Linked DNA regions of Mytilus edulis. Each later gene encodes a partner of the first gene's protein in a complex. Links are inferred from orthologs where the notes say so. Each region holds a gene or a part of one and is shown in the gene's direction. Other genes may lie near its edges.

Evidence for each region. Proteins that work in one complex are often made in the same cells at the same time.
Region 2: actin-related protein 2/3 complex subunit 3-like (region 1) and actin-related protein 2/3 complex subunit 4 share a complex: the UniProt entries of both Caenorhabditis elegans proteins name them as parts of the arp2/3 complex. The link is inferred for Mytilus edulis from reciprocal best matches to the Caenorhabditis elegans genes arx-5 and arx-6.

Annotation. Positions count from the first base shown.
Region 1 is NC_092349.1:81,609,459-81,616,909, forward strand, and holds the start of actin-related protein 2/3 complex subunit 3-like, read left to right. Parts: upstream 1-4,393; 5' UTR 4,394-4,628; coding exon 4,629-4,634; intron 4,635-6,002; coding exon 6,003-6,099; intron 6,100-7,170; coding exon 7,171-7,247; intron 7,248-7,451. Other genes in the region: GPN-loop GTPase 3-like, read right to left, coding at 4,216-4,263. UniProt on the Caenorhabditis elegans protein: Functions as a component of the Arp2/3 complex which is involved in regulation of actin polymerization and together with an activating nucleation-promoting factor (NPF) mediates the formation of branched actin networks.
Region 2 is NC_092344.1:98,210,083-98,218,167, forward strand, and holds the start of actin-related protein 2/3 complex subunit 4, read left to right. Parts: upstream 1-4,978; 5' UTR 4,979-5,049; coding exon 5,050-5,052; intron 5,053-6,145; coding exon 6,146-6,264; intron 6,265-6,540; coding exon 6,541-6,652; intron 6,653-7,085; coding exon 7,086-7,181; intron 7,182-7,894; coding exon 7,895-8,071; 3' UTR 8,072-8,085. UniProt on the Caenorhabditis elegans protein: Functions as actin-binding component of the Arp2/3 complex which is involved in regulation of actin polymerization and together with an activating nucleation-promoting factor (NPF) mediates the formation of branched actin networks.

The DNA of each region.
Region 1 (7,451 bases):
TAATGTTGTATAATACATTGCATAGTTTTATGCAAATTTGTCAATCAAGATTCACACTTTAGTTCCAACTTTTTAACATGTTTAAATTATATTACTTTTCAATATAAGAAACAACTGCTTCACAAGGTACAAACATAATTAAGATCTGTAAATATCAATAAAAATGTGTATCGTAGTATGGTTTTACTTCTGTTAAATTTAAAAACTAGGTTTTGGTAAAAAACTTAGAACTAGAGGGTCCAAGGACCCTGTGTCGCTCACCTGATATTTTTATTTACAATTGTTGCATGATAAATGCAACTGTTGTACTGTCGTTTAGTTTCAGAGATATAATACTAAAAAGTGCATTTGAAACCTATGTTTAATTTCAGCCATGTGGGCAGGCAGGGTCATCATACACAGTGGTCCCTGGATATCCTAGTGGTGATTTAAACCAAGTTTGTTTAAATTCAACAGTTGTTTCAGGGGAGAATTTTTGTAAAATTTATCTAACAAGAAATGCAAAGTAATGAGAAAGTTGTGAAGTAGTTTTGTTGTTGCGCAACCCCCCCCCACTTTGCCAAAAAAAAACAAAAAGGTAATAAAAAATTATCATATAAGGGCAATCTATCCTATTAATGATTTCTGCAAAATTCAGTTGATTGTGCAAGGGTTGTATAGCCAGCTGAGGTCTTTAAAAACTCTCTTTCTTTTGTTGTTGCAGATAGATCTTGACCTGATAAGCAATTTTACCACATGTCAGATTTGCTCTAAATGCTTTGGTTTTTGAGTGATAAGCCAAAAACTGCATTTTACCCCTATGTTCTATTTTTAGCCATGGCGGCCATCTTGATTGGTTGGCCGGGTCACCGGACACAATTTTTAAACTAGATACCCCAATGATGATTGTGGCCAAGTTTGGTTTAATTTGGTCCAGTAGTTTCAGAGGAGAAGATTTTTGTAAAAGATAACTAAGATTTACGAAAAATGGTTAAAAATTGACTATAAAGGGCAATAACTCCTAAAGGGGTCAACAGACCATTTTGGTCATGTTGACTTATTTGTAGATCTTACTTAGCTGAACATTTTTGCTGTTTACAGTTTATCTCTATCTATAATAATATTCAAGATAATAATCAAAAACAGCAAATTTTCCTTAAAATTACCAATTCAGGGGCAGCAACCTATCAACGAGTTGTCCGATTCATCTCAAAATTTCAGGGCAGATAGATCTTGACCTGATAAACAATTTTACTACACGTCAGATTTGCTCTAAATGCTTCGGTTTTTGAGTGATAAGCCAAAAACTGCATTTTACCCCTATGTTCTATTTTTAGCAATGGCGGCCATCTTGGTTGGTTGGCCGGATCACCGGACACAATTTTTAAACTAGATACCCCAATGATGATTGTGGCCAAGTTTGGTTTAATTTGGTCCAGTAGTTTCAGAGGAGAAGATTTTTGTAAAAGATAATTAAGATTTACGAAAAATGGTTAAAAATTGACTATAAAGGGCAATAACTTCTAAAGGGGTCAACAGTCCATTTTGGTCATGTTGACTTATTTGTAGATCTTACTTTGTTGAACATTTTTGTTGTTCACAGTTTATCTCTATCTATAATAATATTCAAGATAATAACCAAAAACAGCAAAATTTTCTCAAAATTACCAATTCAGGGGCAGCAACCTATCAACGGGTTGTCCGATTCATCTGAAAATTTCAGGGCAGATAGATCTTGACCTGATAAACAATTTTACCCCATGTCAGATTTGCTCTTAATGCTTTGGTTTTTGAGTTATAAGCCAAAAACTGCATTTTACCCCTATGTTCTATTTTTAGCCATGGCGGCCATCTTGGTTGGTTGGGCGGGTCACCGGACACAATTTTTAAACTAGATACTCCAATGATGATTGTGGCCAAGTTTGGTTTAATTTTGTCCAGTAGTTTCAGAGGAGAAGATTTTTGTAAAAGTTAACGACGGACGACGACGACGACGACGACGGACGACGGACGACGGACGACGGACGCCGGACGCCAAGTGATGAGAAAAGCTCACTTGGCCCTTCGGGCCAGGTGAGCTAAAAATCTACTGATTTTTTTCAGAAACAAAGCATTGCCTAACAATGTTTTTAAATGATCATACATACATACCTGAAGCTCGTGACCTTGATACAAAAGTTTTAAGAAAAAAGCTTATATTGTTATTTATGTTATAGTCAAGAATATATGTCTTTTGGTAAGCTACTTAAAAGTAAAATAACAAAAAATACTGATCTCCAAGGAAAATTCAACTCAGAAAGAACCTTAATATCAAATGGCAAAATTTAAAGCTCCAACACATCTTACTTATTTACTTTAAACATTGAATGAATGGAAACAACTGACATATTCCTAACTTCAAAATGTAGAAAATGGTTTTATAGCTAGCTAAACCTCTCACTTGTATAAAAGTTAAATAAAATTCTATAATATTGAATGAGTAAACAGACACAGATAATTTCTGCCTAATTGGGTGACCCAAACCATGCACACAGACATGAGGGTAGTCAGACCATACTTACTAATGATGTGACTGTCAAGGGAGAGCCAAAAATTCAGTCACTGAAGTTTTCTACCTGGAAATGTTATCGATGCACCAACCTCATGCCTCAGCAAACTTTATAGGTTACAAGTGAGAAACATATATTGACACAGAGATATTAAATAATGATACAAATAGTAGTAATGGGGGTACCTTCATGATAGATAATGGTAAAAATTCTTGCCAAATGAAGTTAATGGTAATTTTTAGTCCATGACAATAAAATGTACACTTTCTTTTAGCAGTCAGGGGACTTACTTAAATGAGTGATTTTCTAAATCACTGATTCAAGTAGCATTATTTCCATAAAGATTGGAATTAAGAGTTGTCTTTCTTTAATAATCACCTATTTAAGTAGTACAAAGTAATCACTAGAACAAGTGATTTAATTTATCATACCTCAATTTCATTCCCAAAAATCACTTCTTTAACTATCAATATTTTAATAACCCCCACTAATTTCAACATCCCCGAACAGTGAAATTTTTATCCGAACAGTAGAATTTTATTACATAATCTGAAAGATGAAACCTTGAACTTTAAAGGAAAAATACTCCCACTGCTGGGAAAAATCTGTCAAGAAAGTATCAGTTCATTATGTAAAGCCATTATAACAGCATTTTTTCAACTAAAATAGAATTTGCAGCTAAATGATAGCATCAAAGGCATAAACCTTTCCACTTCAAAGAAGCAAAAAATACATTTTTTTTCAATTTTACTAATGAAAAGATATTATTTAAACCTATGTGTTTGAAATTTTGGTAAAACTACAAAATTACAATTGGAGACAAAGCTTCAAATTTGCTACTCATTCAGGGGACTTAATGATATAAGTGATTTTTAAATCACTTATTCATTATTTAGTCCCCTGAATGTTTAGATGATAAAAAATCACCTGAATTTGACGAATCTCACTAATTTATTTCAAAAATAATGGTAACGATAATTATTTGAGACATCGGACGAATCACTGTAAGGACATTTTGAGGAATCACTGTAAAATTTTAACCAATTTGACATTAACAGTAGCTGAAAATGACCGTTTGACACATGACAGTAAAGTGCATTACCACCCTCAGACATAGTTCTGATCTCAGAATGTTTAATAAAAAGGATTCTTCATGCAGTTTTCCACAGAGTTCAGTTTTAAAGTAGCAAAATAAATCAGTATATTTAACAGAACTTACATACACATGTACATGTATGAGGTTAGTAATACCCCTTTACCATGAGGCGTCAAACAGTCATTTTCGACTAACGTTAGCATCAAATTGGTTAAAATTTTAGCGTGATTTGTCAAAATTTCCTTATCATGATTCGTAAGATGTCTCAAATAATAATCGTTACCCTTATTTTTGGGAAAAAAAACTTGTTTCATCAAATTCAGCTGATATGCACTAAAAATTACTGTTAACATCATTTGGCAAGAATTTTTACCTATATATGTCATGAGGGTACCCCATTACTACCCTTATGTAGGCTGTAGCACTGCATCACTTATCAGTATATTTAGTGTGTCAGTTTATTTTCCGTTTTATGAGTTTGACTGTCCCTTGGGTATTTTTCGTCCCTCCTATACAGAAACCACAAGCAGTTTATATGAGAAAAATTATATTTGTACACTTGAGTTGACCAAAATTAAAACCCGTCACTACCTTTCCACTTCCAGCCGGACCCATCACTAATTGTCCATATCGTGGCATTTCTTATTCAAGTGCAATACTAGCTGCGGAACCGTATGTTATTTTTTGACTATTTTGCGGACCTTATGGTGCAATACAAAATACAATTCAAGTGTGTGAGCTTCTACTAATCTTTTTTCGGTTATTTGTCAAACCGTTGCCGCTTGTGACACATCAAAATAATATAATTTTTAGGTGGGAATGTATCTATTTTTTACATTTTATTATTATAAAAAAAGCAGTTTGGTACCTTTATAGATTATTTTTCATGTAAAGGAAATATATTTGGATGTATTCCTTGACATTTTTTAAGTTATTTTTGTAGTTGTTTGAAGCGGCCTCTCAAGGAAGTGATTGGGGTGTAACAGAAACATTGAAAAAGGAAAATGCCAGTAAATAATTTGTCTTCATATCATATAGGATACTTTTTAATGAATTAAGTTTATATTTATTCGCATGTATTCTTTTTATCATAACATAGCATGCCATATTTCTATCATTTGAGAGTGCAGTCTACATTTTCATAATATGTCAAACGGATGAGGAAGCCTTGTCCCGAAAGAAATTAAACAAGTGATAGAGAAGCCCTGTCAACAATAGGATAGTCTAGCTCCATTTGACAATCGAATTTAGTAAAGGATAGGGCAGCCTTGTCCTTTAAACCAAAATACAATTAGGATAGTCTGGCTTCGTTTGAAATACAACAATCAAGGATAGGGAACCCCTCGTTCTTTAATTAAAAATAGAACAAAATAAAGTACTTCAAATGAAATTGGTGTAAGGAAGCCTTATGCAATTTCCTCAGCCAGGTAAAAAAAAATAGATAAGCCCTATTTTTATTATTTAAAAAGTATGGCATCAACTAGAAAAAGCAGTACAACAGGTCCCAAATCGTCACAAAAAATAAGTCAAGACGAGGAGGAGGCATGGACATGCGCTAAATGTACCAAAATCTTCAAAGAGCCAGAGGCTCAACTTATGGAATGCCAAAGGTGTAAGGAACATTTTTGCACAACCTGTCTTAAGAAAACAAAAGCGGAATACAGCATGTTATGTAAAACAGATGCAATGTGGTTTTGTGGAAAATGCAGGATAGTCATGGAACAACATGCAGTTACCGATATTGAGATAGAAAAAAGGTGCAAACATATAATGGAGAGTTATGAGAAAAGAATTACATCACTTGAAAAAACAGTTGAAAATAAATGTGACGAGGATAACTAAAGTCAAGCAGATTGTTTGTGAGGAAATAAAGAACTGCAATGAGTAAATGAGTAGTTATTGTTGCAAACTTCATTAGAAATTTGAATTGAGATTATTTTTGGCATATGGGAAAGGGGGAGGTGAAAAAAAAAATTCTTTAAACATTTTTTTGGGGGGGGGGATTAATATTCAACAGCATAGTGAATTGCTCAAAAGCAAAAAAAAAATTGAGTTCATTAGACCACGTTCATTCTCTGTCAGCTACATGTATTTAATCTTAATCCAAATTCAGAGCTGTATCCAGCTTGAATGTTGTGTCAATACTTGCCCCAACTGATCTGAGATCGAGATCTGTGATTGTATAAAGCTGTGCCCTGCGGAGTATCTGGTTACTTTGTCACTATAGTTATAGCCTTCACTGACAGTAGGGGTACCAATCGTGAGCAATAGCTTACAGTTCAAGTTCTAGTTGGGATAGCAAGGAAGATTAGATTTAGATATAGGGTGCCTGCCTTGTGAAAGTGTATATTAAAACACTGTGTTATTGTATTTTACAGGCTTATCACTCACAGTTTACAAACCCTCCTAAACTTATAGGAAATGTAGCATTGGTGCCACTAAGAACAAGTTACAAAGGACCAGCACCAAAAGACAGTATGTATTAAAACATAAGAATGTAAATTTACAAAGTAGTCATTTTACACAATATGTCAATTTTACATTTTTAAGAAGACATCATTATCAAATATGATCTTATTTAGTTTCACTACTTAGATATATGAATTCGGGGGTTGACAAAATGTTATCATTTCATCAGAACTTTAATTCTAGGCTTACTTCAGTTTACTTTATAATTATTATTTATATATCATGTATATGAATTCAACTGTATTAGTAAGTACTAAAATTCATAAATTTTATATTTTTTCTTTTAAGTTTCTGTCAATATTAGACTCTATATTTAATATAAAAGTCAGTCTTGAGTGGCAGAACCTTTTTCACATGTTTCATCAATGCAATTCTACGCATACATGACATACATGTAAACAAATCAAATCTCAATTTAAAAGTGCTTTTATATTATCAAATTATGTCATTTACATGTAACTTATCAGACTTAGACATGTAAACAAACTTTTATACTTTGTATTCATGCTATTGCCACCACATTAAGTTTTTTCAATATATTCTTGATATATCATTTATATACAGATAAAAAATCTATTGATTTGCAAATTTAGTAATTTAACATGCACTATAGAATTCAGACATAAGAAGATTTACAAAATAAACAAATTGAATGATGTTTTCATCTGTATATAAAAAAGAAGATGTGGTATGATTGCCAATGAGACAACTGTCCACAAAAGACCAAAATGCCACAGACATAAACAACTATAGGTCACCATACAGACTTCAACAATGAGCAAAGCCCATACCGCATAGTCAGCTATAAAAGGCCCTGATAAGACAATGTAAAACAATTCATCGATAAAACTAATGACCTTATTTATATAAAAAAAAGAACGAAAAACAAATATATGTAACACGTAAACAAACGACAACCACTGAATTACAGGATCCTGACTTGGGACAGGCATATACTTAAATAATGTGGCAGGGTTAAACATGTTAAGCGGGATCCCATACCTCCCCCTAACCTGGGACAGTGATATAACAGTACAACATAAGAATGAACTATAAAAATCTGTATGTTTATTTCAGGTAGTGACTCAGACATTATAGATGAAGCTATTTATTATTTCAAGGCCAATATATTTTTTAGAAATTATGAAATCAAGGTGAGAATTGCTATGTAGAAAAGATTGTTTTCTTTTAAAACTAAATAAGTGTTTTTGTTTTGTTTTTCAAAAGTAACAGTAAAAGTTTGTTCACAGTGATTGATTTTATGGATTATTTTATTTTGTTGATATGGAGGGTTGAAATATAATTTCCACCAATACAACAAGTGGTAGAACCTTTTTCTCTGATAAATCTTATCATTT
Region 2 (8,085 bases), on another chromosome or scaffold:
TATGAATTCCTATTTTCTACCATTAAAATTGCAATTGTTATATCCCATCAGCAAGATGTTTCTACAAAAAATAAATTTTAAATTTCATAAAAAAATCTATGCAAATTATAAACTCTGACAATATTGAAAGAATGCCTTTTAGTTGGTGATCCTTAAAAAATATTTATGAAAAAATGGTGATTACCATGCATGCTACATTATTATTTATTTACCACTATATTTTTGAAAGGAGAGGTCTGTGTTGCCTTCAAAAGACCCATCTTATTCTAGTATGTCTATAAACTATAGGAAAGAAAACACATTTTTTTTATAAATGTTGATGTGTCTATTTACACAGCAAGTATCACAAATATTATTTTTTTTACAAAAATAAATATATACATGTACTTTAAAAATTGTTTTTCCTTGAATTAGATATTTCATTAGTTACTTTCTAAATGTAATAGTGTGAAAAGATAAGGTTTTATTTTACAGAAAGTTAGCCATCTTTACTTTAATGCTCATATTTTATCTACTTTCGCTTTTGAATTTCTTCCAATTCTAACAGAAGCGTTCATGTTGGATACTCAAAGGAATAGAAAAGAGGAAAGCTGTAGAAAGCAATCTATTAAGATCTTGAAATTAAATACAGTTGTTTGTTCAACAGGTCAAAAATATAGTATACAAATTCCTGTATAAAACAGACAAATATATATGAAAATGAAAATAGTCACATGAACTCAAAACTGTGTGAGCTTTGACAATTTACATACTCTCCTACTAGACATGCATCACTTATCACACAATAACAATAAAATCACATCAGGCTTAAAGTTTTACAAACAGGAACATGAGAAAATAATATCATATTGAAATAAGTTTACAATAGAAATCAATGAGTTAAATGCCATTAGTGAGTTCAGATAAACCAATTTGTGATGTCAAGCATAAAGCATTTATAAAGTAGGAATTTCAGTCCTTCTTCATTACAATTTACTTATTAGTAGTTTTAGAGTAAAAGACTGCACACAAAGTGCATCAAATGTCCATAGTCTCTGCTGGTCAGCCATATTTCAACCATCTTTTTTTTTTGCCTGTCTTTGTTGTACACACAACATTTAACAAAGAGGTAACATTTATAAGATTGTAACCATGCCCACTTCAAGCAATTTATTCATAGTATGAATTTAAACCAAATATTCAGATAACATGTAGATGGTATGTTACTGCTCGAAAATGGGTTGTTGACAAAAAGAAATTAATTGAATTTAGTTTTAAGCTGCTTATTGTCAGTTTAGAAAAAGATATAGAACAAAGAGGTAATATTAAAATAAAGTATAGACAAAACAGAACAAATCAAATCATTAGGTCCTAATATAACAAGAATATATTTTTTTTCTTTTTCTAACCTATTTAAGTACGACATTGTTTTTACAAATTATGTGCAATGTTACTTACGAATACTTTTGCATGTTAGTTTAAATCTCAATTCATTTTTACATGATAGTATTTTACTTACTCTATCAAGTGCGATTTGGTGATCACTAGTGGTAGTTTGCTTTTGTTGTTTTTCAGTACTTGAGGATCCACATCCCATAGCTTGGTAGGTTTAATACAGTCTCTATTGTCCTTTATTGTAAATTCATAAGAATAGATATATGCTGTTATAATTCACCAAAACAAGACTTTGAAAGGTGATTGGTCTTCATCAAGATATCTAAAAGGGAAATTTAAAGATTTTGTTTGATAATTTTTCCTCTTGCCTTTGACAAGGATTTGATTATATTTGCAGTCCCTCAATTAAATGCCGATGGAATGCCACTGGAATACTGTCGACTGGCATAATTAACATATTCTTGATAAAAAATAGTCCAGCATTTTGACTTATTCAGTTAAATTTTATTTGAGATTGGTTTTTGTGTGATTCTTAAACAAAGTGTGATCTTGAAATTAACCCTTAGCTAGATATGAGTACCACATATACTAGGCGTGTTCAGCTATTAAAAAGAAAATGATGTCAACATTAACAGCTAGACAAGGGTTAGCCATTTGGTAAACTGATGTTATCCACACAAATTCATTCTTATACACAGATAAAAACGAAGAATAACATATTTTAAATCTATAATATGGAATCAAACAGACCTTGAAAAACCCAATTGCATATGCTACCTTCAATTTCTATTCATGTTTATATCGGGCTATATGACCGTCCACAGTCTTCAGAAGTCATCTTGGTGGTTAAGTTAAATGGTGTCATGACTTAATTACTCCTGAAATGCAGAAATATATAATCAAGTTTAAGTTTATAGTATGGGTGTCTTTCACCATTTTGGATTGTAAATAACAGTGCACTAAGGTCCAGATTTTCAATTAAGTTAGCAAAATTTGATTAGGAATGCAGATAAGTAACCATGAATTTTCATTTAAAGGGAGAAATTTATAAGATTTTAACGTATAAATATTACTAATTTTTTTTTAAGTTAGATAAATTTTGCTTAGTTTTTATTTTTTGGAAAGTTTGCTATAGCTTGCTATCGCAACTTTCCATAGGCTTCGGCCTCAACTACAGACTATCGCAATGTTCTGCTCCAAGATAATGTAGTTCTAGTGTTCGAAATCTGATTCTTGGATATTTTGAGTTGCTACTCTAAATCTTTTGAAAAGATTAAAGCTTGAATAAAAAAGGAATGAATGTTCACCGACAATTCAGGTGAATTTAACTTCATTTTAAAAATAAGTATCACAAACACTACTTTGCGGATCAGCCATTGCTTGAAGAGAAAATCAAAAGATATCTAGGCGAGACCGTTTCATTCATGAATATTTTATTAATAAACATTTTCCCGCACTATGTTTTACTCTGTACGATATTTACAACTGTTTATTATTGAATAAGTAAAAGCCCGAGTGTATCGAAAGAGTCCGGTATGCGAGAACAAGTTGATATTTGACCAAGTTGTCGGATAATTGACAAGTGATAATGGTTTGATTTATTTTACAATACACAGGTGATAGAATATAAAATAATCAATAATTAACTGGCTTATGTCTCACGCCAAGAATGAGTAAAGGTAAATACCGGCTTTTCGTCGTATAAGCTTTTTTATAGACAGACACACCTCTAATATTAGTATATATAAGGGTAATTTGGTATAGAAACTTCTTTTTTCTTTATATTTAACTATGTACAGCACACTTTGTGGATGGTTTTTAGTATGTTATGACTTTTAAAATTATATACAGATATGGCTTTTAATTTGGTTATTATTATAAGCTTATTTGATTTACATGTGTGTTATTATGCATGTCAATGACAATAATATTATAAAGATAATAAATGCTAATATGGGTGTAATTTACATAGGGAGTTTAGTCAATGCTTAAAATCTAAATTATCTCTTTCATTTCATATTTATAAAAAACTATGACTTTACTCAGTATGATAAAAATTATATTAAAATTATATATTGAATATAAAAATCATTTTGTGTCATATTTTAAGATATTTGTCCTGTTTTAAAATATAATGGATTACAATATAAAGATATTCTAGCCAATTTACCAGAAAATAAGATAATAAAAAGATAAAAACTGAAAAAGCGACTTAAAGAATAATTAAGATCATTTACTATCATCTTAAACAATCCAATTTCACTTCATGTTAAACAATCCAATATGGATTTATATGCTGATGATTCAACATTGCATTTTCATGATAAAAACATTGAAAAAATAAACAGCATATTGCAAAATGATTTAAATGCTATACAATCTTGGTGTAACAATAACAGTATGAAAATCAATGCACAAAAAACTAAGTGTATGAAATTGGGTTCAAAACAAAAACTTAAACAACTATCAGAATTATGTATTACCGTCAACGAAACATGTATTGAGAATGTCCATTCTTTCAAATTACTTGGAATAGACATTGATGAAAATTTAAGCTGGGAAGATCATGTTGATCGTATATGTAAAATTATCTCATCTAAAGTATCACTTTTATATAAAATTAAAGTATATTTGCCAATACACACAAGGCAACTATTTTATAATGCATATATTCTACCATATATAGACTATTGTAGTTCAGTTTGGGGAAATTTATTACAAAAAGATTCAGATAGAATCATAAAACTTCAAAAAAGAGTAGCAAGAATTATACTGGAATGCGATATTTCTATTCCATCTAATTTCATGTTTTCTTCTTTAAAATGGCTATCTTTTACCAAAAGAATAAAATACCAACAATCAATTCTAATGTATAAAATTGTAAATGGGCTAACACCTGATTACTTAGCAATACTAAATATTGATGATGTGCAACGCCACAACTTACGATCTGTCTCTAATAATGATCTTTTTGTTCCAAGACCAAATACAAATTTTTATAAAAAATCTTTTCATTATTCTGCAACCAAAGTATGGAATAATTTACCACTCGAAATAAAGAAATGTCCTAATGTGGAATTATTCAAGAAACATAGTTATAATCATTTTCTTGAAAATTATATGCAAGTCAACTAATTTGTTTTCCTCTAACAAAACTATATCAAATATTGTCATTTATTACCCTTTGTATATTTCAATGATTGAATTGTGTATATACTAGTAATATATATTGTAAATTAATGTATGAATGTATGAATGTTAACTGTATGCATGTATTTTGTTTGAGGGCCTCAATGAAAATTAGACTATTTCTAATTGAGTTACCCTCTTTAAATAAAGAATTTATTATTATTATTATTATTATAAAATGGTGAATATTTTAAGGTTTAGACTTTATTTGATTCACTAGTAATTTTGAGCTAGCGAGACTTTTATTACTTGCACTACCTCATGATAGTATATATTGGAGTTGTGCTTGTATACGGGTGATTTACACTTTTTCATGATTATATTATCGGAATATTATTTTCTGAGTACTTTTTCACTTTTTTTAATGTCAACAATACTTATAGTTCTTTAGTGCTTTGATATTTAATAACTGGTATCTCCGTGACCCAGTTTAGCGGAGAAGTGCGCAAGTGTTGCAATTACTTCCTGTTATTGGTACAGTACGAGATGGTGGGTGTTGATTCTAAAGCAATTTTATCTTACTGTTCCTTTTGTAGTTACCTGTTTTATGATTACATGCCCGCGTAAGAAATGCACAGTCACATATTTAGTCTGCAACTTCCAATGGAATCTGTTAACTAAGGCATACAGTGGAAATCATTTCATTTCCTGATAAATGTTCTAACCGGAAGCATAGAGAAGCCGATTTTTATGATACATTTATGTCTGTCTTAAACTATTTTTCGTATCCTCTCATCATGTTCTTTACATTTCTAAGGAATTCTCTGTTCCTTACGTAATCTGTTGAAAAGGGGGAGATGCCTGCAATGGTAAATCAATAACCATTGAATATGTGATTTTCGCCTTTCCTCACACATTTCTGTCTAAATTCTGATAACTAGACTGGACTTTTAACCAGATTCAGGGCCTTGATTGGTCTTTATGGTCTCATATGTTGACCTGAAGATCTATCTGCAGGTTTAACTTCCCTCTACAGTGCTCTGACATCCAAATTGGTAACATTGAAATAGAAATAAGATGTGGTGTGAGTGCCAATGAGACAACTCTCCATCCAAAGGGACATAACACCACTACAAACCGTGTATGAAATAAGCCCCGCTTCCCTACTACCTTATATGGAATATAAAGGGATGCAACTCCACTACTAACCATGTATGAAATATGCCCCGCCTCCCTACTAACCTAATATCAAATATACACGGTTTCCATGAGGACCCTTTTAACCAATCACATTCCTAGGAATGTATAGGAGGTAAGATAATACATTATAAACCATGTTCAGTGTTCTCACTACATTTGTAAGTGAGTGTATGAGACTTGGACTTTTAATCTTTAGTCATAAAATTAAGATATTTGCACTAAGTTCATACAACATTTAACAATTTTAATATATCTTTGAACTGACCAGTTTTGAAAATGATTAGACTCTTGGACTTGCATTATTAAGAACCCTGATACACTTGTAAAATAATATTAGGTAAGGTGTGTAGTATAAAGCTGTTTTCTTATAGGAATATGTAAGAATGACTGCTTACTTGGCTGATATTTTGAAACTTATCAGTAAATGGTTATTATTTTTCAGTCTGCTACTTTGAAGCCTTACTTGAATGCCATCAAGCACACTCTTACAGCAGCCATATGTGTCCAGAATTTCAACTCACAAGTTGTTGAACGTCACAACAAACCAGAAGTAGAAGTCAAGTAAGTAAAGTAACCTGTACTTGTCTACAAGTTTGTAAATAACAGAATTCCTCTTACATGGTATGATTTGATAACAAAAAAATTTAGTGACAAGAAAAATTGTATCTTCTAAGTTCCAGTCAGTGACACACTGTCTTCCAGTCTCAAAGAATGAAATTAAACATTAACATTCAAATAAATTATGTAATATTGACACACTGTTCATTCTTATACATTCAGTGTACATGTATAGACAGATAATAACAAAACTAATTGAACCTATCATTTTAATTTCAGATCAAGTAAAGAACTTCTTCTTACGCCAGTTGTGATTAGTAGAAATGAAAAAGAAAAAGTATTGATAGAGGGCTCAGTAAATTCTCTAAGAATAAGTATAGGTATCAAACAGGTAATTATAGCTACTTGTCTTCATGTACATCATAATTTTAATAAAAAGTATGGTATGAAAGATTGTTGTTTAACATTTAGTAGCAAATAACAAATATATTTATTAAGGATGGGAATAAGCTATTGATAGGGTCTGCAAATAAAGTTTCTTAAATAGATAAAATAGAAATAAGGAGATGTGGTATGATTGCCAATGAGTCTAATATTGACCAAAATTCAAATGAAGTGGATGTAAGCAATTGAAGACAACTGTACGACCTAATTTAAGGTTACCCCCTCCTCCCCCCAGGTTATACACATTTAACTGCTAATGGTAAGATGCAGTAATCAAAACAGTAAATTCTAATACACTTGTTAAATGACATCTCAAGAAATGATGACTGTTACTATTTTAAACAATGTACAAATGTAAATAGAAGTTTATATTTTGACAGGCTGATGATATAGAAAAAATCTTATGTCACAAATTCACCAGATTTATGATGCAAAGAGCAGAAAATTTTGTTATTCTTAGGAGAAAACCTGTAGAGGTAAGAGCTGATTATATTAGAATGAAAAATTAAGATGGTTCTGGATTTTTTTCTGAAAATAAGATTAGGCTCTGCATTAAAGTGTGTTTAAAATTAGAGTTGCAACATTAGAAGCGAACTACAAAGATGGGAATAAATTCATAATTCACTTGGAAAATCTATATTAAAAAAAACAACCTCACAGTCTTGAATAGAATTTTCTTTGTTATTTTTATATTGTACATGCACAACAAACATACATGTATACCTTTGTTAATGATGCCCAGCTTTTATTGGCAAAAGCTAGACTAAGGTGTGCATTTTCTTTGCTGAGCATTAACTATATATAAGTTTGATAAATTGTGATTAGGTCAGTTTAAAGGGAACCATTTATAATAAGTCAATAGTATAATATATAAAGTTTTATAAGCTTTGGCATATACAAGTTGCATTTATAATATTATTAAGCCCTGCACTTCATTCATGGTTCATTAATTATATATAAGGTTTAATGTTTTGTATTGTTTAAATATTGCCATTTTAGTTTTAAACAATTGTATTATTAGATCAAAATAACATAAAGAAAAGACCAATCTCAGTACATGTATATTCATAAAGGTGTATTGTGGAGGATTTTAATGAAAATTTAATAACACAATTTTATTATTTTTAGTTCAGTTATTTGTTTCTATAATTCTAACTTTTAACATTGGAATGTTTTAATTTTGTTTCAGGGTTATGATATTAGTTTTCTAGTAACGAATGTACATACGGAAGAAATGTTTAAACATAAACTTGTAGACTTTATAATTCATTTTATGGAAGAAATAGACAAGGAAATTAGTGAAATGAAGATAGCCCTTAATTCTAGAGCTAGATTAAGTGCTGAGGAGTTTCTTAAACGATTCTGATGCAGTCTTTATTT